3 linked regions of the Astyanax mexicanus genome follow. The protein of the gene in region 1 purifies or fractionates together with the protein of each later gene. This does not show direct contact. Links are inferred from orthologs where the notes say so. Each region holds a gene or a part of one and is shown on either strand. Other genes may lie near its edges.

Region 1 (8,204 bases):
TGGCTCAGCATGTGCAGTTTAGCATGTCATACCCAGATATTTACTAATATAACTATAAACAAATGGCATCTGCCATTGCTTCACGTGTAACTGTACAGATATTTACACAAGTCCAAACCACAGGACCTTCTTCTTGTATATGCTTAACTCGGACTAACCAATAAGCAGACATAAGGTTCTCACATGGTTTGTTGAAAAGCATTTTGGTTTTTGGCTCTTGGCTTTTTCCCTGTGTGAAAACTAACCATGGCATTCTTGGCAACCAACACTGCAAGTGTACACACTCATTAACAGATTTGGACTAGAAGCAGACTAACAAAAGTTGTGAAAGTACCCTCGCCATCTCCTGGTGTGCACTCCTTCCATATTTTCACAGTGCGGTCATCACTACAGGAGGCCAATCTGTGTCCCTCTGGGTCAAAGGAAAGACTCCAGACTGTCGACGTGTGTCCCTCTAGAGTTGCCCTGCATTCCCAGTCATCATCCTCCTCTTTATAAATGCACACCTTGTTGTCATAACTGGCTGACGCCAAGAGCTGTAGAGGAAGAAGACATGTTATGGCTGCACAATACATTATCTATAAGGATTTTTTGTCATATTGGTCTTTTTTTTACTAATATATTTATATATTGATTGTAGATATGTTGTGATTACCAGTATAATGTGACATGAATAACGTCAAATTTAATATACAGTGAACTAGGGCTGGGTGATATTGACAAAACATTAATCTCAATATTCTTTGCATGTATGAGCGATTCTCGATTACAATTACTATTTTTGGTTCTTATATAACTTTTTACATAACAGTTTTTTTTTATTTGTAAACAGACAGAACAATTTAAAAGTAATGCACAAGCTATTGTTTGATTATTTATTAGCAGCCTTTTTCATATTAAACTTTTATATTCTTTATGGGCTCTGATAGACTGAGACTGACTGAGATTCCCTCTGGCATCTTCTATATCAATATTCAATATTATTCTATTTGGAAAATCACATTAAAACAGTAAATCTGAGGTGTAAACATTATATATATAAAAAAAAAACATTTTGCTTTGACAACTTTTAACACATCAAGCCAAAATATGAATATACATCAACTAGAATACGAGGATTACATAAATCCTTTAGTTGCTTATTTTCATTACCAATTTCTGTTTTCACTTATGCTCAGACTGAAAAATCCAAGAATACTATGGTTAATTTCATAATTACAGAATTATGAGCAAGCTGTTTCCGTGACTAGCTGAATAAACTAGATAAACTTAGAATATGTAGACTATACAGTGCATGTAAACATACTCACTAACTGCTGTAGACAACACAATAAAGTCGCTTCACAGTATCACGTGAAAAGATACATCAAAGATATGTTACCTCTTGTGTGGGATGCCAAACTACATGCTTCACATCCTGTGTGTGAGAATTGACCACACTCACACACTCATACTCATCCTCCTCATCAACTGTAGAGAAAGAAAGACTTAAGTAAAAAATCTATTTTTATGTCTGTATGCATGGGAGATGGCAAACGTGTTACAACTGTAACACAAGAACTACCCAGAGAAGCTGAGAAACTACACAGAGTTAACAATACAAAGTATGAAAGACCATGTAAAAAGTAACACTGCCTTTACAAACCTTCCCATATCCACACGCTCTTGTCTCTGCTGCAGGTGGCCAGCAGGTTTCCAGACGGAGCCCAAGCTACACACTTTACTTCGTTTTCATGTCCCTCTAAAACTGTAAGGCACTAAAAACACACACACTTATTACTGTAAAAGTTACCACACTGTTATGATTAACTTTGACAATCAGTCTTAAATTCACAGGCATCCCAAACCATGAGGGGACAATCCATGAGAATTACAGAGAATTATCTGTAATCCAATACACAATTACAACCCAATATCAATGCAGAGTTTTTGTACAATGCTTGGAGAGTGTATAAATGTTTTACCTCAAAATCATCATTCTTCTTCTTCCAGATGCAAGTGGTAGCATCAAAGCTGGCCGATGCAAGATAATTCCCACAGGGTGACCAGGCAACCTTTCTGACAGTCCGCTGGTGTCCGTCTGACAGCACACTCTTACACTCCCAACTGTCTCCTGTGTGAACAGGCCAGGACACATAAATTAACCTGCACATCCATTCTGCTGTGAAAAGTTTTGTTCTTGTGTCAGTACATGGGCATAGAGACAGACACCTTAGACATCAGAGATCAGTAAACTAAACTAAAATCCTCCTCAGGTTACAAGTGTTTTTACTTGAGGAACTCATAGCATGGAAATAACGTTAATTTTTAACTAACCTTTGATAGTTAAAGGTAATAAACTTGATAATTTAATATTACCTTAAAGTAGAAATTACTTAATTTTACACAGAAACATGTTGTGAGGGTAGAATGCAGATTGTGAGCTGTAAAATGCCTCTTTTAAAACCAGCTGTAGGGTCTGCAGTATGTCAGTAAAAAAGTAACAGACCTGTAGGCAAATACTACATATTGTACCTTTAGGTGGGTAAAAGACATAAACATACACAAAAAACATACTTTATACTGATTATCTAGATGATTAAGCAGTGCTTCGTCTGCACTGCTATATATATGATTTTGGTCATGCTCGTCATTGACCAGGTTGGTCATACAGGTTATCTTCTAGCTTGGTCAGGCTGATCATGCTTGTAGTTCAGTGTGGGCAGTGTGCAAGTCCTGCTGGAAAATGAAATCTGCATCTCCATAAAAGTTGTCAGCAGAGGGAAGCATGAAGTGCTGAAAGATTTTTCGTGAGAACACTGCACTGACTTTAGACTTGATATAACACAGTGGACCAACACCAGCAGATGACATGTCTCTCCAAACCATCACTGATTGTGGAAACTTTACATTAGACCTCAAGAAGCTTGGACTGTGTGACTATCCACTCTTCCTCCATACTCTTGATCTCTTGATTCCCAAATGAAATGCGAAATTTACTGATGATCAGTGATGGTTTGGAGAGCCGTGTCATATGCTGGTGTTGATCCACTGTGTTGTATCAAGTCAAAATCCCATGCAGTGTTTTCCTGCAAAATAACAACTTTTATGGAGAAGTAGATTTCATTTTCCAGCAGGACTTGGCACACTGCCCACACTGCCAAAAGTACCAATTGGTTATATGTAATATTCACATTTCCTGAGACACTGATTTTTGGGTTTTAATTGGCTGTAAGTCATAATCATCGACATTAAAAGAAATAAAAGCTTAGAATATATATATCACTCTTTGTGTAATACATCTATATATTATATGATTTTCACATTTTGAACTAAATAACTAAAATAGTAACTTTTCAGTTATATTAATTTGTTTGAGATGCACTGTACACAGACACAGGTAAAGTAACATTAGTCACAGTGAGAACTGAGTATCAGACCTTCTTTCCCCCAGATCCGGACCGCTCGATCTCCGCCGCAGGACGCCAGAAGGGAACCCTTGGGGCTCCAGGCTACATACCAGCAGCGGGAGTCGGGGTGAGCGCTCAGCCGCTGAACCAGCTCTACCGTGTCCTTCATTCAGGAGCGTTTCGGCGTCCAGTTACCTGCTTAAACCGGTCAAAACTAATGTTTATCTGCTGACAGTTAGTTTATCAGATGCCTCCACCTGCCTTCCTGCTCTTTTCTTCACTGACTACCCCCTTACACATGGTTTATAACACAGCGCCGCTTACAGGGAACAGCGAACCTCACAGCTTCCAGTCTACAGGGATGTATACTGTATATACAGCTCTGGGGAAAAAAAAATATTAAAAGACCACTTCATTTTCTGAAGTTTCTCTGATTATAGGTATATGTTTGAGTAAAATAAACATTGTTTCTTATTCTATAAACTACAGACAGCGTTTCTGCCAAATTCCAAATAAAAATATTGTCATTTAGAGCATTTATTTGCAGAAAATAAAAAATGTCTGAAATAACAAAAAAGATGCAGAGCTTTCAGACCTCAAATAATGTAAATAAAACAAGTTTATAGTCATTAAGTTTTAAGAGTTCAGAAATCAATATTTGGTGGAATAACCCTGGTTTTTAATCACAGTTTTCGTGTATCTTGGCATGTTCTCCTCCATCAGTCTTACACACTGCTTTTGGATAACTTTATGCCACTTCTGGTGCAAATTTCAAACAGTTCAGCTTGGTTTGATGGCTTGTGATCATCCATCTTGCTCTTGGTTATATTCCAGAGGTTTTCAATAAACTCATAATTTTAAGTGGTCTCATATTTTTTCCAAAACCAGGGTTATTCCACCAAATATTGATTTCTGAACTCTTAAAACTTTATGAATATGAGCTTGTAATATGTCTTTGTAATATTTGAGGTCTAAAAGCACTGCACCTTTTTTATTTTAGCAATTTCTCACTTTCTGCATATAAATGCTCTAAATGACAATATTGTTGCAATACTTATTCTGTGCAATATTTGTCTATAGTGTAAGTTATTATGTTTATTGTTATTGAGTGTATTGTGTATAGTGTTTATACTGTAAAGCTATCTGTAAGTCTTATTTTATATTATATTTTATTTTATTACTCTTCTTGTAAATATTATTCTCTGCACATTGGTGGGGATCTGCACCCAAGTTTTTCACTCACATGTACATACACCTGTACTCTGTGACGTGACAATAAAAATCTTGAATCTTGTTATTTGGAATTTGGGAGAAACACATTTGAGTTAAATACAAAAAAAGGAAACATGTCAGTGATAACTTGGTAACATTTTAATAATTAATGATAAAATAATAAAATACGATATTTTACTAAATAAATAAACAGATAAACAAACGGATTAGGGTTTATTACAGAACGTCACGTTACAGGAAGCGGAAGTGTGCGGATGGAAACAGAGGGAGGTAGCTGGGTAGCTAGGCTAGCGGCTGAGCTCGGAGCTGTCTTTGTTTTTATTGGGATTTTGATATAAAGCAGGAGAATGAGGCTGTATTAGACAGAGCAGTCACTCTGAGGGGGAATATTGTGAGTAGGGGCAGCGGGCGGAGGTGAATGGTAAGGGTGGTGTGGGTGTTTTATCGTGTGAGAAGCTCTTTCGGTTCTTTTGTCTGTCTGAGTCTCTCGGTATCCGAGTTAAAATATCCGCTTTGGCCGCGACGAAGCTCGACTTCTCCCCCTCATGACTTCGCCTGTTTCTCAGTAGGACGGATTTCCACACGCCCGACAGGTGGGTTTAGTGTTTGACTGGGTGGATAGTATTTTTTCTTTGGTTAAGGGACCAAAGCGACACATTCAGACGTCTAAATGTTTAATAGAAAACAAGATTTAACGTAACCTAGCTAAGCGGTGTAGCCATCGCGGTGCTAGCTAACTAACCTAGGTTAAATGTTAAGTGTAGTTTTGATACTGTTATCGCTCGGTTAGTAATGTTTTTATAGAATAAATGACTTTTAAGGATTTAATGATCTCTGAAATAATGTCGTGTTAACCTAGGTTAGCTTACTTATGCTGAGTGATTCCTGCTTGAGTCTTAAGTGAGTCATATTCGTCATGTCTGATTTGTTTCCTTATACTAGCTGCTTGGACTGCAACTAATGTTTATTTTGGTAGTTGACTAATCTGACGAATATTTTTCAGATAGATCAATGATTATTTCTTTCTCTATTTCCTGAGGGTATGGCTTCTGTTCCTAGAGTTCTCTGTCTTTTCAAAACGATAGACATTGCTCAACATTTAAATGCCCAGAAAAAGACATTCCGATTAATGTGCAATGTTTTGCTATTTAGTGAGAAAGTGTTGTGCACTGCAGTTACAAATAGTAACAAATAGTATTAACTATTAGTTCACACTGTTACTTACAGTCGATACATTTTTATAATCAACATTGTCGATTATGTCAACTAATCGCCAACAGATATACTAGGAAACTATCTAAATATCAGGTGATCGTAATAATAAGGGTCTTAAAATATCCCATGCTATTTGGGCTGGAACTAATGATTATTTTTTTAGTTGACTAATCTGACTATTATTTTATAGTAACTGCTTAACATGGGATTTAAATGCCCAGAACACATTATGATCAATCTGAAATATACTGCTATTTAGTGAGGTAATATATGTAATCTGTTGTGTCTGTCACTTTTAGTGACCATGCTGCAACTAATGATTATTTTGTTAGTTTTGATTATTTGATTAGTCAGCTGGGACCAGAAACGCAGTGGGAAAGGGGTTAAGGGCTGCGCACACAACTCAGCTTACTCAGTTTACACTCTGCTTGGTCATCAAAAGTGGCTGACCCATACTTTTTTTTTTTTTTAACTAAATATCTGAATATTCCATACTTGTCAGAATGCTATCTGGGCATTTCAATGGCGTATAATCCCAATCCCAGCTGTCCATGTAGTGTATATGGCCATGACTTGCTTATCACAGGCCCCACTAAACCATCGGCATGCACTATTTTTATGGATACAGGAGGTAATTAGCAGGACTCCATAATTTTGCTAATCAGTGACAACCCAAATACAGGTCTTTAGGGATCAGCTGGTCATGTAGCGAAGTAAGCATGCACCATTGTTGATCTGTCTGTTATACTCTGACCCTTTGTTTCAGTTTATACATTAGACTCATGTATTTTCCATATGCAGATGCATTCTCCTGAACCCTGTATGTGTTTTTTTTTTTCTTCTGCAGTACATTTCTAAACAACCACTTGATACTTTTGAACCTGGTGCTGTTCAGTTGTTATATCTGAGAAACACATCATGTACGCCCCACCGGGACCTGCTCTCCCTGGAACCCGCAGGAGAAGAGGTGGAACAGCACTGCCCAAACAACCCGAACGAAGTTTGGCTTCTGCGCTGCCTGGCGCACTATCCATCACGGCCCTGTGCACAGCCCTGGCCGAGCCAGCCTGGCTGCGGGTGCACGGGGGAACCTGCCCGAGGCAGGAGCTTGGAGTGGCTGACGTTCTGGGATACATAGACGAGACACTTATTAAAGGTCATTTTTTACTCACTTTAGTCTTTTATGCTCTTATTATGACCTAAACTGACTGCTTAATGTTTATTAATAACACTTACCAAAGGAACAGGCCTGTTTCTGATACAATCACAACACTTCAATACTCAACAACTCACCTGTAAGGGATGCAAGTTGTGATATGATTCTGCTTGGATGACAGAGCCTGAGGAATCTAATAGCTATAATCTTAATTCTCTCTGGCAGTGGGCCTGAGGAGACTTAATACATTTAAAAAATGACAATGATTAACTAATAAAAAAAATGTCTTTTAGAGTAATTTAAATCTTATTAAAATGGAACAGGAAGTGTATGTGTTAAACATTCACACAAAGTTCACAGATTACTTTACTGTGATTTTTGCGATGATGAAGCTCCATGTACCTATGCGCAACTCTTATTTTGTATATAAATAAATGTTGTTTCTTTTGTTTTGCCACAGACTATTGCATTAACTCCCAGACCATTCTGCTGTTGCGAGTTATTGCTGCCTTCTGTTTCCTGGGCATTTTATGTAGCCTGACAGCTTTTCTACTGGACGTCTTTGGACCCAAACACCCTGCTCTCAAGATTACACGCCGATATGCCTTTGCTCACATTCTTACAGGTATTTAGCGTGTGGTAGTGACATTTAATGCATTATTGGCACATTTACAATGTGTTTAAATGATGAGTAAAAAAGGGTTAAAGAAACATTGTTATGTCAGTCCTCTATATATTAACAATTGGCTTGATATGTAGAGAATGCTTTATTTATTTGGCCTATAACAAAAATAGTGATGTATTTAAAAAAATATTGGCACTCAATCTTACTTACTACTTACTACAATCTTACTACTTACTACTACTTTTTTTTTTTTGGATTGCATAAACATACAATACTCACAGGAAGTCCACATAGTAAAGATTTTGCATTGCGGCTGTGCAAATGCCAGCATTTCAGTGACCGTATGCAATGACGGTGTAAATTTTTGTGCTGTTCTCTAAATATGTTTACTATTGTGCTTCATTCTGCAGTGCTCCAGTGTGCCACTGTGATTGGTTTCTGCTACTGGGCCTCAGAGCTCATCCTCTCTCTTCAGCAGCAGCACAAGAAGTATCATGGTTCACTTATCTACGTTACCTTTGCCATCAGCTTCTATCTGGTGGCAGGAGCTGGAGGAGCTTCCATCTTGGCCACGGCTGCCAACCTG
Region 2 (8,294 bases), on another chromosome or scaffold:
TCTACACTGTGTTACGGTGGCTACATTGGACATTTCACCCATGTTTTTTTAGTCAACACCACTCAGCAATACCTGATTGAGGCGCAGCACTCTGTACAGCTCCTCGTGACTCTGCTGGGTGATCAGGATGCTCTCAGCTGAAGTGATGCAGCCACTGCAGGCCAGGCAGTCATTTAGCGTAATCTTGGCTTTCTCCAGCTTCTGCCTTTGGCCATCCTAAATATGGGAAACAAGGCTGAATCAGATCTCAAGGAATGTCAAGGAGTAGGTCAACATATTGGATCACACAAAAGCGTTGTGTAACACAATGTGATGCCAAATGCTGTGGGTAATTCGGCTTTATTAATTTTGGATTTTACATGCAACCAATTTTTCAAGGACCCTTAATGTGGTGTGAAACAGAAGATATGAGCCAAATATAAAAGTGCACAGTTATTTATTTACGAAGATTCACACACACAAAAAAAAAAAAACAGTAAGTATTTACACATATTTACAAAAGTAAATATCTTGAGATACTGTTTCACTTTCTCTCTACAAACCTACAAACCATGCGCTGCTACAAGCAACACAGTTTCCCCGAGAGAGTTTTTTTTTTCCCCCAACCGAGTACCCAAGCCAGGTATTCACACATTAAGCCCTGCCCCGACTAAACCACAAACCCCCTTAAGGGGTGGAGATCCATTAAACATTAAACAGATAAAACAGACAAAACCAATGACACACAATAGCACTATTTAACATACACAGGTAATGACATACAGATAACTGATCACTATTTTTTTTACACATGTATTAACTAATTTTCTTTCTTTTTCAGATAAACAAGAAGCACTCCCTGAAAGTGGATTCGTCCTACCAGGAGAAGCAGCCCCGGTTCCCTTTGCGTCCCTTTTCCCTTCTAACCCTCTATGAGGCAGGATTAAAAGGTAAGTTCATTCATACAATGTCACCCTGGTGATGGGCTATCTTGCTGCTACATCACAGTGATCATTATGCTGCAATAACAAAGTAAGTTTATACCTACTTACAGCTCATAATATATATATACACAATGACCTGAAATCTGCTCATCATAATCAGTAAAGAACAGGATACTTCACCAACCTGGTTGACCTGAAAATAACTGCCATCGTCTTCTATTTGGATTTTGGCCACAGATCTTCCTTGCTTCTTGTCTACTTTCACTGGTTTCACACATTCCTAAAAAGAAGAAGAATGGGTTAAATAGGTAGTAATCTGCATATATAAAATGAGCACATGTTGGCTGAGCAGATCCTGGTTACAACATTTCTCATTTTGGCCACTAGCCTTTTTTTACCCCAATTTCCCCCCATACTATCCTTATATTACCAATTACAGTGGATACATTTACAGATGACAACATAACCTAAACTGATGGCATTATCTCTGTTAGGTGAAATATCTGTATTAATATTACATTTAAGTAATAAAGATCACCAACATGGCTTTTAAAGCTTCTAAACTCCAGTTATTTTGTGTGACAAAACTAAACCCAATAATAATTAAAGCCTTCATTTAAAGCCTGAATGTTTACATAATATGTACTCCTAAGTAGGGGTGGGCAATATTATATCGTATACAATATATCGTGACACAGAAATATTATGATATTTAAAAATCCATATCGTGATAATAGGGCTGTTCTGTCTTAAAAGTAGTTTATTATTTACTGTGAAGCTTTAGGTGTATTTACTGTATAATTGTTTTAGTTTGCAGTTTATATGCATGCACTAAATATTCTGCAATATTATTTGCTGCATTATATTATTTTATGCTATATTATTTATTTTCCCACATTGTGATTATTCTGTTATACTATTATACTATATTCCTGAAATGAATGAATTATTTTAGTTTTCCTCTATCGCCAAGTATATCGTTATCGCAAAAATACCCTGAAATATCGTGATATTATTTTAGAGCCATATCGCCCACCCCTACTCCTAAGAGTACAGTAAGTCACAAACCTAACTAAATTAAAACCCGAGCACTATAATCTACTAGTCTAAAAAAAAAATCGAACATCATTAAAAATATACTTTATTTCAGTAATTCAGTTCAATGTGTGAAACTCATTATATAGATGTATTACACTTAGAGTGATCTATTTAAAGTATCTCAGATAATTTTAATATTATATAAGACCAATTGGTGCCTTTGGCAGTGTGGGCAGTGTGCCAAGTCCTGCTGGAAAATTAAATCTGCATCTCCATAAAAGTTGTCAGCAGAGGGAAGCATGAAGTACAGTAAGGTTTTTCAGGAAAACGCTGCACTGAATTTGGACTTGATTTAACACAGTGGATCAACACCAGCAGATGACATGTCTCTCCATTACATTACATTACATTACATTACATTTGGCAGACGCTTTTGTCCAAAGCGACTTACAATAGTCAAGTACAATGTAAAATAAGTTTAAAGGTAAAAACAACTTTGGATAGGGATAAAAGGAGGTCAAAGGGGAATAATAGGATAGAGGAGTGAAGGAGGGGAAGAAGGAAATGAGGTTATAAGTAGTTAGTGTGTTAGAGGTGTTAAGAGAGTAAGTGCTCTTTGAAGAGCTCTGTCTTCAGGAGTTTCTTAAAGATCATTGTATCATCATTGTAGAAACTTCACACTGTGAAGTTCGGACTGTGTGTCTCTCCACTCTTCCTCCAGACTCTGCTCCCTTGATTTACAATGATCAGTGATGGTTTGGAGAGTCGTGTAATCTGCTGGTGTTGATCCACTGTGTTTTATCAAGTCTAAAGTCAGTGCAGTGTTCTCCCACAAAATCTTACAGCACTTCATGCCAGAAGTCTTATATAATATTTTAATTTTCTGAGCTACTATTTTTTTGGGTTTTCATTGACTGTGAGCCATAATCATAAACAATAAAAGGAATAAACGTTTAAAATAAATCACTCTGTGTGTAATACATCCACACTAGTATAGTAAATGAGATAGATTATACTGTGGGTTAGGTCTAAACTTACAGTCAGCTGACTGTAAGTTAGCTATAACTGGCTGTTAGCTTGCTGGCTAAGTTTCTAAGCTAACTGAGGTTAACAGCACAATATCAGCCTCCCTGGCTAAAATAATCAGCGGTAATCTAAACATATATCACCACTTAATCCTAATAACCCGCGTGGCTGTGTTAGTTTACCTGGGATGGGGTGATAAAATCATCCAGGTCTGTTAACTGAAGGACGCCGCTGAAATGAGACGCCATACCGCCTGATCACGCGATATAACAACACTGCCGTCAAGCGTGACGAGTGTCGTAAATCTGGTCAGTCACGGTTAAGCACGACAGGGCAGTAAAGCAGCATGTGTAGTCCGCATGCATGAAACAGAACGGTCAGAGAATTATTAGTTATTATTACCAACAGAGGGCGCTCAGGAGTTATACCAAAAAGAATGGGTTCATATGGAGGAATGATCAGAGCATAATCAGAGTTTTTTCATGTTTAATTATTGCCATACTATTTTTTTTTTACTATTTTTTTTAACACAGAATAATATTTAAAAACATCAGTTTTTATCAGTGCAGAAATAACTTTTATTTGGATTTTGGCCACATATCTTCCTTGCTTCTTGTCTACTTTCACTGGTTTTACACATTCCTTAAAAAAGAAAAGGTTAAGTAATATAATACAGGAAATTGACAAATCCTGCACCTAACAGCTGGGGTTATGCATAGGGCTCAGCCAGGAACTACTACTCACTCAACTAACAACAATAGCAAAACCACCACAATCTGATACAGGCTCGACAAGAATCCAGAAGCACAGCCTAACACTATGTTCATGGTCCATTGCCTCAACTGCCAAGTAACAGACCTACCAAAAAATAACCTATGAACACACAGAATCCCTCCTTAATCTAAGCTCACTTCCTTTAACTATGGCAACAACACACTTACCTAAGCACAATCACACACAATAAATCACGTTATAAGTTGCGTGAGCAGAACACAGCAACCACTACCATCTGATACTGGCTCGACAAGAATCCAGAAGCATAGCGAACTATGTTCATGGTCCGTGCCTCAACTGCCAAGTACTCAGACGTCTACAAAAACTCATGAGACAAATTATTACAAGAGCAGGACCACACCAATCCCCTTCATCCAAACTCTAACACAAACTTCAGTGCAAGCTCTTCTCAGGGGTCATCAGGCAGGCACCTTCCTTCGTCAGTGTTTCGCTGAATTAGGCCCACGACACCTCCAGAAGGCTCAACAGTGAAGTCTGGCGTCCCAGACCCACCCCCCTCCAAGCCTGCTGTAGAAGCACAAACTCACTCCCTTCCCCACACAGCCTCAGCCCTTCTGAACCACAACCACTGACTAGATCTATAGGTAAATAGTTAAATAGGTAGTATTACAATACAGTGAGCATTTCAGCCTGTATTAATAAAATGAACACATGCTGGTTAAGCAAATCCTGGTTACAACATCACATATTGGCCACTAGCCTTTTTTTCCCCTTTATCCTTATATTACCAATTACAGTGGATACATTACAAACACACAATTACATTACAATTACATTACATCAGCTCTGTGTTAGGTACAATATCTGTATTAACATTACATTTAAGCTATAAATATTACCAACATAAAAAATAAAGCGTGTAAACTCCAGCTATAAACCCTTGAAAGTGCTTTAAAGACTGTAACTCCAGTCAAAGCATCAGCTCACAGTAGCATTAATGCTAGCGCCTTTACTGCACAAATCCCGCTTCTAAGGAATAATTCAATGATATAGTTACATTTTCTTTATATATTTACCAAAATACACCAGAATAATACCAGAATTAAAGACAAATCTTGGACAAGTAGATATTTACTATTGTTAATTTGTATTTTTAGCCGTTTAGCTCTATTCACCCTCATTCATTTTGGGCTCACTCGCGGGCTCCCTCTAGCGCTTTTTCTGTCATTTTCTCTCCATAAACCAGCTCCGGTACTGTTTAATCTGCTGCATGTAGCCTTTTCTTCCTTTGTTATTAAATTAAAATTAATAATTTATCAATTAATAAAACACTACAGAAAAAAAGTAACCATACAGAAAACACCCATCCACATAAAAAATACTAGTATGGATTTTAAAAAAGCTGACAACTCTTTAAGTCTGCATTTTGTATATTCAGAATTCGCCTGACTTTTTGAGTTTTCAATGTTTAACGGCTCAATTCATAAATTTGAAAATTTTCAAATCGCTTTTTATGTGTTTTGGACCTGTGATGGTGGTGAAATTTGCTGTTGAAAAAATCATTTAATAGTATCCATCGTATCCATTTTCAAATCTGACCAGTTCTGAAAAAGTTCTTTATTGTGGATATGTGTGTAAAAGTGTACCTTAATTAACTTAATTAAAGTGTAACTTAATACACAATAACTGTAACATATATATGTAAAATATATATGTTTTTATTATTATTATTATTATTATTATTATTATTATTATTATTATTATTATTATTATTATTTCTACATTATAGTTTTTCTCAGTTAATGTTTTTACTGTATGTCTTAAACACCTTAAGGAATGCTGCTCAGTTTCTTTGTGCACACTGCATTTATAATAATGGTATCTTAGCTTATCTTATATTATCTTATTTTATGATAAGCTGAACTAAGGGCGTGGTTTATTAAGGTTGGACGTTATGGGCGTGGCTTACTAAGTTTGGACTACATGGGCGTGGTTTACCCAGTGTATGGGCGTGGTTTGTGAGGACAGAACAGAGTGATTAATCTCTTTATTCAGAATAAGTGAGCGCCACTCACGGAAATAAAGCCAATAAATACAGCACTACCTGAGGGAAAACAGGCACAGGCATTCTGACAGTAAGTGAAGCTTAATAATTCATTTGAAAAGCAGTAGTGCATATTAAACCAGTGCAGGTAATGTTTTTTCTTTTACCTGTACTTTAATTTATTACTTTTTACTCGTTACTTCTGCTTTTAAAACAAAACAAAAGAAGCATGAGGCGAGTTTACCAAAATATTTTATGTCACAACCCCCAAATGATCCTACTCAGTAAAGTAAACATGATTAAAGTGTCTAAATATCACATAAAATTAGCTCTGAAAATGAGCGTTTATTACTTTGCCTTCTTGGCTTTCGAACGCTGCCAAGCTCTAATGCCTTAGCTGTCGTTTTTTTTCTTTAGTGAAGCGTGCAGAGGTAAGCTACTGTTTTATTAGCTTGTAAACTTCATTGGCTGGTTCATGCGTATCAATTAGTGTTAAAAAATTATGAAAAGAAAAGAAAACACGTTGAATGAGAACAAGTGTGTCCAAACGTTTGACTGCTACTGTATATAATTCCTCTTAAAATTACAATAATATAATTTAATGGGTGCCGATTGGGCCAGCTGACTAAGCACTGCCACTATGAACAGGAGATCGCTGGTTCGAATCCCGGTCATGCACCTTGCTATCAGCTGCCGGAGCCCAGAGAGAGCACAATTGTCCTTGCTCTCTCTCCCTCTCTGGGTGGGTAGATGGCACTCTTTCCTCTCATCACTCCAAAGGGTGATGTCGATCAGCACAAGGCGTCTGTGAGCTGATGTATCAGAACCGAGTCGCTGCGCTTTCCTGCGCATCAGCAGCAGTTCAAAAAGAGGCGGAGTCTGACTTTACATGTATCAGAAGTGGCATGTGCTTATCTTTTCCCTTCTTGTGTTGAGGCATCACCTGTGATGGGGGGATATACAGCTGAGTGGCAGCTGCATAGGTGGGACCACCGGCCTAGCTAAACTGGGGAGAAAAAATTATAAAATAATTTAAAAAATATACAGTACTGTGCAAATGTTTTAGGCACCATTGGGAATTTCATTAAAGAAAAAGCTTCTTATCTGTGAAGTAAGTGTTCATTAGCTCAGTAAAACACCAGCATTACAATAAATACAAACAGCAATTTTACAAAAAGCAGAGCTTTTACATCCCTGTTTTCCTTAAAACATCTCCTAATCTCTTCTCCTCATCTGAGTTTAATAGAGTTATTTCTAGTTCTCATCATATTAATCAACAACTGGTTTGGTAAATTGGTAAATTTGTTAAATCAGGTGAGTTGCTGACGGAACTGAACATAATATACACATGCTGGCTGAGGAGCATCCAGAAGAAATCTGAAACCACACTTAGTTTTTCAGTTTGGCTCACAGGATATAACATACTTAGTTAAAATGAGAATTCCTTGTTACGTTTTACTGTATTTATGTTTATTTGCATCTGTTTAAATCATATGTGGTCCTTTTTTTAGGAGATAAATGGATTAGTGTAATTTGCTTTGCTGTCTAAAACTTTTGCTCAGTATTGTACATTTATTTTATTTAGTTACTTTTGGGACAGCATATCAAATCTAAATAAAAATGGTCATGAACATGACAGGCCTTAGGTTGTGTATTGTGAAATTGTTTTTAATTATCATGACATTAGACTGTCGGCTCCTCCTTCAGATTACGCCACATTTTGAATGGCCTTATTTAAATGACAGACAGACTGACAACCAGACAGAAACACAGGATTATGTATCCATTCAGAAACTCTCCTTGCTGCGAATGCCAGTCAGAGGTGTGGTCCGCGCACACTCGTTTTTCCACATTTTCCAAACAGGTTTATCAGATGTAAAGTTCTCAAAAAGTTAAATTTTATTGTTTTTTTTAAGATAAGGGGTGATCTTTAACTGACCACACTCCTCTGTTTATTAGGTTTGAATCCCATCTCCTTACTGATTACTTAAAGTATTTTAATATGCAGAGGGGTTTTGTTATGCAGATGTTCAGCAGGCGGTGTGTCATTTGTTTCTGACATTGTGGATGTCATTGGGTGTTCTCTGGTTTTCCCTGCAGTCTCTGTAGTGACAGCGAGATGGACAGGCACAAGGTGTTGAGGCTGCTGGTTCTCTGCTTGGCGCTTCTTGCCGTGATAAAATTCTTGTACAGGTGAGTGTTTATAACTATAATTAAGATTAACAGATGAACAAAGATGATTACTTCAAATTTTAGATTACTGGATTCCTATTAGATTGATTCAGAGAGAATTACTTCTCTCTGTTTTTCAGCTAAATCAACCTAAAATCTGGTTCAGATATTTAGCTGAATACAAAAAAATGCAATGCAGTAAATGTTTCACAATATTCGTAATGTTTAAATAAAATGAAATTATGAGGGAATTATTATTGAGTTCAAAATAAGGAAAAAAGAAAAGCATGACAGATTGTGCTCCAATCTCAAGTAAAAAAGAAACTTATTATTATAATATATAGTACATATAATCA
Region 3 (8,269 bases), on another chromosome or scaffold:
CTTTGATGTACCATCTTCATCAGCTGTCATCACATTCCCACCTGCGAGTACACTACAACACAAATCACCAAAGGTGAACATCTTATATAATCAGAACATTCTGATTAAATATTGTGCAATTTGTGTAATCATATTGTTTCAATTCAGGTTACATTTGCATGAAAATAACATAAAACTGTAATGAGTTTCATATAAAACCATAATAATCAAAGAGAATGGCAATTATTATGTGTAATTTCTAAATTGGGATGTATGAAAAATACCTGCACAGCATGCTGGTGTAGGCATCATTAGATTTCTCTCTCTCCCTGTTTTTTCTAACGGCAGGTGAAATCTCTCGCTTCACTTTGATTAGGTCGTCCACTGTGTTAAAGGACAGTTTGATGTAGTTCCTCTTCAGACCCACCAGGTGGTTCGGCTGGAATAAACAACAGCATATTAAAACAATACTAAAATGAAAGTAACATAATATAAATAGAGAGAAATTTCTGAATTTATAAGCACATAAAAGGTTTGAAAGACTGACAGACAATCTGATATGCAACAGAGTTACAATGATGGGTGTAAGAAAATATCAATATCCTCGAGAATCACAAAAATATTTTGTAATACTGTATCGTTTCTTAAAAAACAGCAATATTTTTAAAGAATAGTTCACATGCAAAGATTGCTGTCAGCCTCTAGACATCAGTGCTTAATTCTTAAGATGCCACTGTTCTTACTGAATAAAAAAAAGTTTAATAAAACCCAATAAAAGCCATCACATATCTTTGCACACAGTATTACAATTAACATGCTGTGTCATAAAAATTAAAAAAGGCTAAATAAATTATGTAAAAATGTAATGTGTCTCATTACCAGATCTAGATCCTCTTTGGGCACAATCTCCAGTTTTGCCACCTTTCCTTGGTACTTCTTTGACAAGTAGGAGACGACTTCTCTCTCACAGTTCTACAGAATTTACAGAAAATAAAGAGGTCACATTGGAAAAACCCTACTTTATATGTTGTACTAAATGTTTGTAGATACATTTTTATTCTTACCTTTTTAGTGGCTATGTAGAAGTATGGCTTAAAGGGTAAAGCCACCTACAAAAATAAACAGTGAATGTTAAAGGATGAAATAGAGAGGGAAACAAATTAACCAAACCATCAACTGCTGATTTAGTAACATTATTCCTAACCTTGAATCTGCTGCCATCTTCCTGAATGAAGTAATAATCCACAGCACTGATCATCCTCTTGTCATCATCCAAAATCTCCGTCTGGCAGAAGTGAGATATCACAGGAGTTACTGAGAGCAGTGAAAACTCTACAGATTGCTTTATTAGGTGCTTAGTGTTATGATGTTTTCATGAATTTGGGTTAATTATTTCTTATACATTCTTAATTTGTATTAAATGAACAGACATTTAACAGAGTATTATTATTATTATTATTGTGTATATGACCCTTTTGACCACGTACCGGATGCATGTTGATCAGCCATCCAGTTTTTTCTCCAGGCTCCTTCATTCGCTCAAATCCGAAGCGTGTGTCCATTCCATCAGTAAACTGACTTCGTTCAAGCCGCTTGACGGCAGACATGCCGGGTCCATCATCCCTTTAGGCAAAACAATTCATTACATTAGCACATTTTTAATAAACAGTAGCTGTAGTGATATTATAACACAGTGGAAGCGGCTGGGAACAACAGCAACTCGCTTTATCAGTGTCAAATCAGAGTATCAGGTATAAAAGAGCATCAGTGTTACTTGTAGTGTATCTTCCTTTGGTCAAGTTCTGTCATATTTTTCTTTTTGCCTTGGATGTCTTGAGTGACTTTATGTTTTGAAATTTATTTTAACGTGTCTGAATTACTAAAATACAAGTAAAATATACAGACCTTTCACAATAACAATTTATTATTGCGATATACAATATCATAGAATATTTTTTTTGTAATTAATCATAGCTTAAAAAAAAGTATATATCAAAACCCACCACATATCTTTGGATACAAAATCACAATCAATATGCTGCATCATGCACATATAATAAGACAAAATGAATGAGGGAAAATTTTTAATGGGTCTCATTACCAAATCTAGATCCTCTTTAGGCACAATATCCAGGTTTCACGATTATACAGTGTTAAAATATTGACTATTCAGTAGAGGTGGGCGATATGGCTCTAAAATAATATCACGATATTTCAGGGTATTGTTTGCGATAACGATGTACTTGGCGATATAGGAAAACTAAAATAATTCATTCATTTCAGGAATATAGTATAATAGAATAACATAATAATCATAATGTGGGAAAATAAATAATATAGCATAAAATAATATAATGCAACAAATAATATTGCAGAATATTTAGTGCATGCATATAAACTGCAAACAAACAATTATACAATAAATACACCTAAAGCTTCACAGTAAATAATAGACTACTTTTAAAACAAAACAAGGCCTATTATCACAATATGGATTTTTAATATCATGATATTTCTGTGTCACGATATAATATTGCCCACCTCTACTATACAGAACACACATATTTATTATGAACACCCAGCTCTGCTGATTTAATATCAGAACTTACACTCTACATTTAAGCTTTTGGATTTAATATCAGACAATAATTAACCCAAAAAAAAGATTAATCTAAACACACATTATCTAATAAGTTTCACAGCAGTTCTGTTCTGCACTCAGCAACGTCTTAGTGATTTTACATATGTCTCCATACCAGATATTTAATTAGTGACAATACTTAACCTACCTAACCTAGTTTAAAACCAAGGTAGCTCTCACTTTAAGCTTTACATTTTAAAATCAGACTGTAATTATCCCCTAAAATAGAAGATAACACCAAACACACGTTAAATATATTTACTGCAGCTTTGTTTTATACACTCAGCAACATTTTAGGCCTGATATTTCTTTCCATTCTCAGGTTATATTCTGGTTACTCCTCCTCCTACTGCTGCTGTTAGTTGTCAGTGTTGTGAGAACTTACTGCTGGTTGTCTTGGTCTCCTCCATCCCGGTCTACTCTGAATCTTCCACTGTTCTGTAGAACCATCCTGAATTAAGCTACTAACCGCTGGCTAGTAAGTTAACTAGTAAACAATCTGAGTACAGAGGCTCTATAGAGCTTAAGGTGTCTGGAAAGGTTAGCTAGCTAGCTAAGCTAGTTAAGCTAAACCCCCGCTAGCTAACTAACCACTACTCTTGTCATCCAGCGCTAGCACAGCTAGCTATCGTAACTACTTACAAACATATATAAGCGATTTACATTCAATTCTCTCTATTTTCTCAGCCAACACAACTATATATCACATCTCCGTAACAAGTAGAGTGTGCCGGTTGGCGTTAAAGCGCATATAAAATAGAGTTTCTTGAAATTTTTCTCTAATATTCGCGGCTATTTTTACTGTTTTCCCCAGTCTGAGTTTGGCGGGTTTTTGCCCTACTTGCCGCGAGAGCCCATCAGCTTCCGCGCGCACGGCTCCGCCCCTTGATGCCTGTTGACCAATCGGGGCACAGATTGGCACATGGAAGCTCCTGGATCGCGTCCCAAATGGCTATACACCCTATGTAGGGCACTAGAAATTGACAGCTGCTGCACTCAACTAAGTAGTGAACTTATATGCAGTATATATGGAGCATTGTTGCTATTTGGGATTGGTCCTTGGTGCATTTTAGAAATCATTTTTTTGCTAAAAAAAAAAAAAAAAAAGCATTGCTCCTGAACTAATGACTATGGAAGCCCATTTCCGCCACCTGAAGAAAAAAAACGTCCTCAACTAAGTCATAATTATGAGATAGAAAAGTCATAATTATGGGATAGTAAGTCATAATTATGAGATAGTAAGTCATAATTATGAGATACTAAGTCATAATTGTGAGATAGTAAGTCATAATTATGAGATAAAAAAGTCATAATTATGAGATACTAAGTCATAATTATGAGATAGAAAGTCATAATTATGAGATACTAAGTCATAATTATGAGATAGAAAGTCATAATTATGAGATAGAAAGTCATAATTATGAGATGACTTTTTATCTCATAATTATGACTTTCTATCTCATAATTATGACTTTCTATCTCATAATTATGACTTACTATCTCATAATTATGACTTACTATCTCATAATTATGACTTTCTATCTCATAATTATGACTTACTATCTAATAATTATGACTTTTTTATCTCATAATTATGACTTACTATCTCATAATTATGACTTAGTTGAGGACGTTTTTTTTTTCTTCAGGTGGCGGAAATGGAATAAATGACTGTATCTAAACCTGTTTAAATGTTTTTTTTTTTCAGTGTTTAAAGTGGAAATAAACTATAGCGTTATTACGTACCCCCCTCCGTGTTTTTATTACGATGACTTTGCTAATATTATATTATAATATATTATAATATTATTTATCTTTAATATTAATGTTGAGGATTCTTTAAATTTCACTTATTTGTTTATTATGTTTACCTTTTATTTTTCTGCTTATTCAATTCCTTGTTCTAACCTTCTAATATACAGGCAATAGTGATATAAATTGCAATTGTCCTAAATAACTGTATTAAAGAATACTTTAGTAACACATATTAATCATCCCATTCATTTATTAAAATCCTGTTAAATAAATGCATTATTTATGAGAACTGAAATGTGAAAATACTGAAAAATACTGTTTAGATAGGGTTAGGTACTATATATGTGTTTGTATGCGTGTGTGAAATAAAATTATCTTAAGAATACACTACTGCAGCAAAATGAAGCTTACATTTTATTATTGTATACGATATGATATGGCACACCCCTAACTGAGATTTTAAAAAATACAAGACTTTTTAACAGATTTTTAACAAAAGTTAGTGATCCAAAATGTCATGATACTAATAATAATGCACTCCAAATATCTCCATATATCCTAAAATAAAGTCGAATAAATGATAATGGACAGATATAATCTTTCTCTGGTAGATATATAATGGGAAATGAGAAGAGTGTGAATTTTTATTTTGCTAAAAACAGCAAAAAAGCAGTACCCTGATGTGATAATTAGTGCTGGGTGATATTGCACGATATTTCATGGTATAAAACCGTTCATGATATTGAAAAATGCTTATAAAAACATATAATAAATAATACAAAGTAAAAACATGAATGAGCGAGTAAGTGAGAGAATCCACCAATCAGAATCGAGAAAATCACGCATGGCAACTGCTGGGGAGACTCCGCCCATAGGAGCGATGAGGAAAGTAGCAACAGCTAGCCTAGCTTAGCTAACTAACTGGTTGTTTGGCTTAAAATATCAGTTATGCTCTTTATCTTTCTAAAGCAGCAGCTTTTAAAATTTGCCTGTTACATAAAGTGAGCTTTAGATAATATCTGAGAGGAGGGGCCTTAAAGAAAACCTGATTTTTAGGGGTTGGTTTTTAGGTTGGATAGTTAGCCAGCCTTAGCTTAGCAACGTTAGCTTAGCAGAATGGAAGGCTGAGAGTCTGTCAAACTCTGCTGCTGCTGCTGCGTTTATTATTAGCTAGTTAAACAGGTTTATATAAATATAATAATGGTAAATATGCTGAATATGGAGGATATTAGGCTACTATGAGCTTCTGAGTTTAAAGCTCCGCACTGTCTGCTAGCTCTGGTGGTTTGTTTTAGTCAGAAACCCGCCCCCCTCCTTCTCCAGGCCGAGCTGTCTGATTTCTCCCCCCGTGGCGGTCACACAGCGCCGGGTAGAGCTCCAGCTGAATGTCATGGTTTCCTGGAGCCATGTCTTGTAAGTCCAAAGTGGCCCCGAGTGTGGACTTCGACCACAGCTGCTCGGACAGTGTTGAGTATCTGACACTCAACTTCGGTCCCTTCGAGACCGTCCATCGCTGGAGGCGACTCCCACCCTGCGACGAGTTTGTTGGGGCAAGGTAAGCACCAGGGCTGGACCCCCAAAATACAGAGGTTTCAGTATAAATACAGCTCTGGAAAAAATTAAGAGACTACTTCAGTTTCTGAATCAGTTTCTCTGGTGTTTGAGTAAAATGAACATTGTTATTTTATTCTATAAACTACAGACAACATTTCTCCCAAATTCTAAATAAAAATATTGTCATATAGAGCATTTATTTGCAGAAAATTAATGAACAAATTGTTGGAATAACAAAAATGATGCAGAGCTTTTAGACCTCAAACAATGCAAAGAAAACAAGTTCATATTCATAAAGTTTTAAGAATTCAGAAATCAATATTTGGTGGAATAACCCTGGTTTTCACAATTTTCACACATCTTGGCATGTTCTCCTCCACCAGTCTTACACACTGCTTTTGGATAACTTCATGTCACTCCTGGTGCAATAATTCAAGCAGTTCAGCTTGGTTTGATGGCTTGTGATCATCCATCTTCCTCTTGATTATATTCCAGGGGTTTTGGATTTGGTAAAATCAAAGAAACTCATAATTTTTAAGTGGTCTCTTATTTTTCTCCAGAGCTGTAGCTACCTATGAATAGAGAGAAATTGGTGCCTAATTGAAAACCAAACGCTACCGTAAAAAAATGTAAATGCAATCCACAAGATGCATTGCTTTTCTTCACTAACATGCTGAATACATGCCAGAATGAAATGCAAAACCACTATTGCATTACATTTTCCTGCACTTTTTTATTATCATTAAAAAAACAGTACACAAGAATTTACATTTTCAAAACCAAACGCTTAATTCGTATCAGAATTGCACTTGAAATGCATCTCAACAAAATCATCTTAACTGCATTGTATTCCACTGTGCAGTGCTGTGAATGTTCAAAAGCAAATCACACTGCACAGGATTGCATTTCGTCTAGGAGCATCGTGGAGTGAGTGTCAAAATGAAATGTAATCGCTGTCCAATCAGAACCCACTACTCAAGTTGGGACGGGGCTGAGAAAACTGAAAATGAACTTAGGGTGTAGTAAAACATGATAACAAACATGAGTACAAGCCTTTGTTGAATAGCCCACCTCCATTCACCTCCAGCATTCAGAAATACAGTGCTTTTAGCTGATACTCCCAACTAACAGGCTTACAATGCTAGTGATAGGGGCATAGTGCTGCCCATGCAAAGAAATCACTTTTTACACCAGTAACAAGCTCAAAGTAGCTTCACACTTTATTGGTAGAATTCTGAGGCCCCGGACGTTTAAAACGACACACTGAGATCTTTGAAAGTGCAAACTATTAAACTATTTTTTTTAATTGAGTAAACTACTGTAAATAATTCCGTAGCCACTTATGTGGAAGCTACTGTGAATAATTGAGTACTAATGTAAATTGACAAGCTGAAATGATTTAGTAACTACTACAAGTCGTCCACTAACTACTATCAATTTTAGGGTAACTGCAACAAATGATTCACTAAACATACTGCTTTTTTGGGTTCAAAGAGTTAAATATGTAAATAGCATAACTTTTTGAACCCCAAAGAGTTGTATGTTTACTAAATCAATTTATTCAAAAAATTGTGGTATTGTCAGTATTTGGTCATCGTTAAGTTATTGATTTATCTTTGTCCCCTTACAGACGCAGCAAGCACACAGTGGTGGCGTACAGGGATGCCATCTACGTGTTTGGAGGAGACAATGGGTAAGAAATTGGATGCTGGTGTGAAACATAATATACGTCAATAAATTAACCAGCTATTGAAAGTCTCACTAATGATATTGTTGCAGGAAAAACATGCTTAATGATCTGCTGCGCTTTGATGTGAAGGACTGCTCATGGTGTCGGTGGGTAAATTGAATTTTAAAGGATTATTATTTGTTTTTATTATTATTTATTTTTTTACAAATGCAATGCTTTTTAAAATCATATTATTCATGTATTTTAATTGAACAGGGCCTTTACCACTGGCACTCCACCAGCACCCAGATATCATCACTCTGCAGTCGTGTATGGGAGCAGCATGTTTGTGTTTGGTATGTGTATTTTTTATTATTATTGTTATTATAATATATATATATATATATATAATATGCATACATACATATTTTAGTACTGGTACTGAGTGCATGTTTTAAAATTAATCTCAGAAATATGAAGGACGCTCCCGGATAGAGGGTGGATGTGTTCAGTTACATTAGCAGCTCACCTGATTTAACATCCTTAATCACTGATTTACCAAACCAACTGTTGATATGATGAGGACTATAAATAACACTGAACTCCTTGAGGAGAGCTTTGAAGATGTTTTAATAAGCACCGTGATGTAAAAAACCCTACTTTTTCTTATG

Evidence for each region. Proteins that work in one complex are often made in the same cells at the same time.
Region 2: the proteins of ciao1 (region 1) and narfl purify together in Homo sapiens (affinity purification with western blotting; 3 studies listed by BioGRID and IntAct, with this or other methods). This does not show direct contact. The link is inferred for Astyanax mexicanus from reciprocal best matches to the Homo sapiens genes CIAO1 and CIAO3.
Region 3: the proteins of ciao1 (region 1) and pole purify together in Homo sapiens (affinity purification with western blotting; 3 studies listed by BioGRID, with this or other methods). This does not show direct contact. The link is inferred for Astyanax mexicanus from reciprocal best matches to the Homo sapiens genes CIAO1 and POLE.

Annotation. Positions count from the first base shown.
Region 1 is NC_064419.1:34,890,215-34,898,418, forward strand, and holds the start of ciao1 (probable cytosolic iron-sulfur protein assembly protein ciao1), read right to left. Parts: upstream 3,690-8,204; 5' UTR 3,559-3,689; coding exon 3,420-3,558; intron 2,114-3,419; coding exon 1,965-2,113; intron 1,758-1,964; coding exon 1,646-1,757; intron 1,471-1,645; coding exon 1,382-1,470; intron 537-1,381; coding exon 335-536; intron 1-334. Other genes in the region: tmem127 (transmembrane protein 127), read left to right, coding at 6,756-6,993, 7,454-7,618, 8,029-8,204. UniProt on the Homo sapiens protein: Key component of the cytosolic iron-sulfur protein assembly (CIA) complex, a multiprotein complex that mediates the incorporation of iron-sulfur cluster into extramitochondrial Fe/S proteins.
Region 2 is NC_064426.1:28,303,505-28,311,798, forward strand, and holds the start of narfl (cytosolic Fe-S cluster assembly factor narfl), read right to left. Parts: upstream 3,446-8,294; 5' UTR 3,236-3,445; coding exon 3,170-3,235; intron 1,204-3,169; coding exon 1,108-1,203; intron 930-1,107; exon of another isoform or gene 912-929; intron 217-911; coding exon 73-216; intron 1-72. Other genes in the region: zgc:113333 (beta-N-acetylhexosaminidase), read left to right, coding at 7,886-7,959.
Region 3 is NC_064429.1:31,313,995-31,322,263, forward strand, and holds the start of pole (DNA polymerase epsilon catalytic subunit A), read right to left. Parts: upstream 3,446-8,269; 5' UTR 3,071-3,445; coding exon 3,006-3,070; intron 1,603-3,005; coding exon 1,467-1,602; intron 1,265-1,466; coding exon 1,184-1,264; intron 1,089-1,183; coding exon 1,044-1,088; intron 952-1,043; coding exon 859-951; intron 419-858; coding exon 264-418; intron 53-263; coding exon 1-52. Other genes in the region: lztr1 (leucine-zipper-like transcriptional regulator 1), read left to right, coding at 5,761-5,930, 7,560-7,622, 7,709-7,765, 7,875-7,954. UniProt on the Homo sapiens protein: Catalytic component of the DNA polymerase epsilon complex. Participates in chromosomal DNA replication.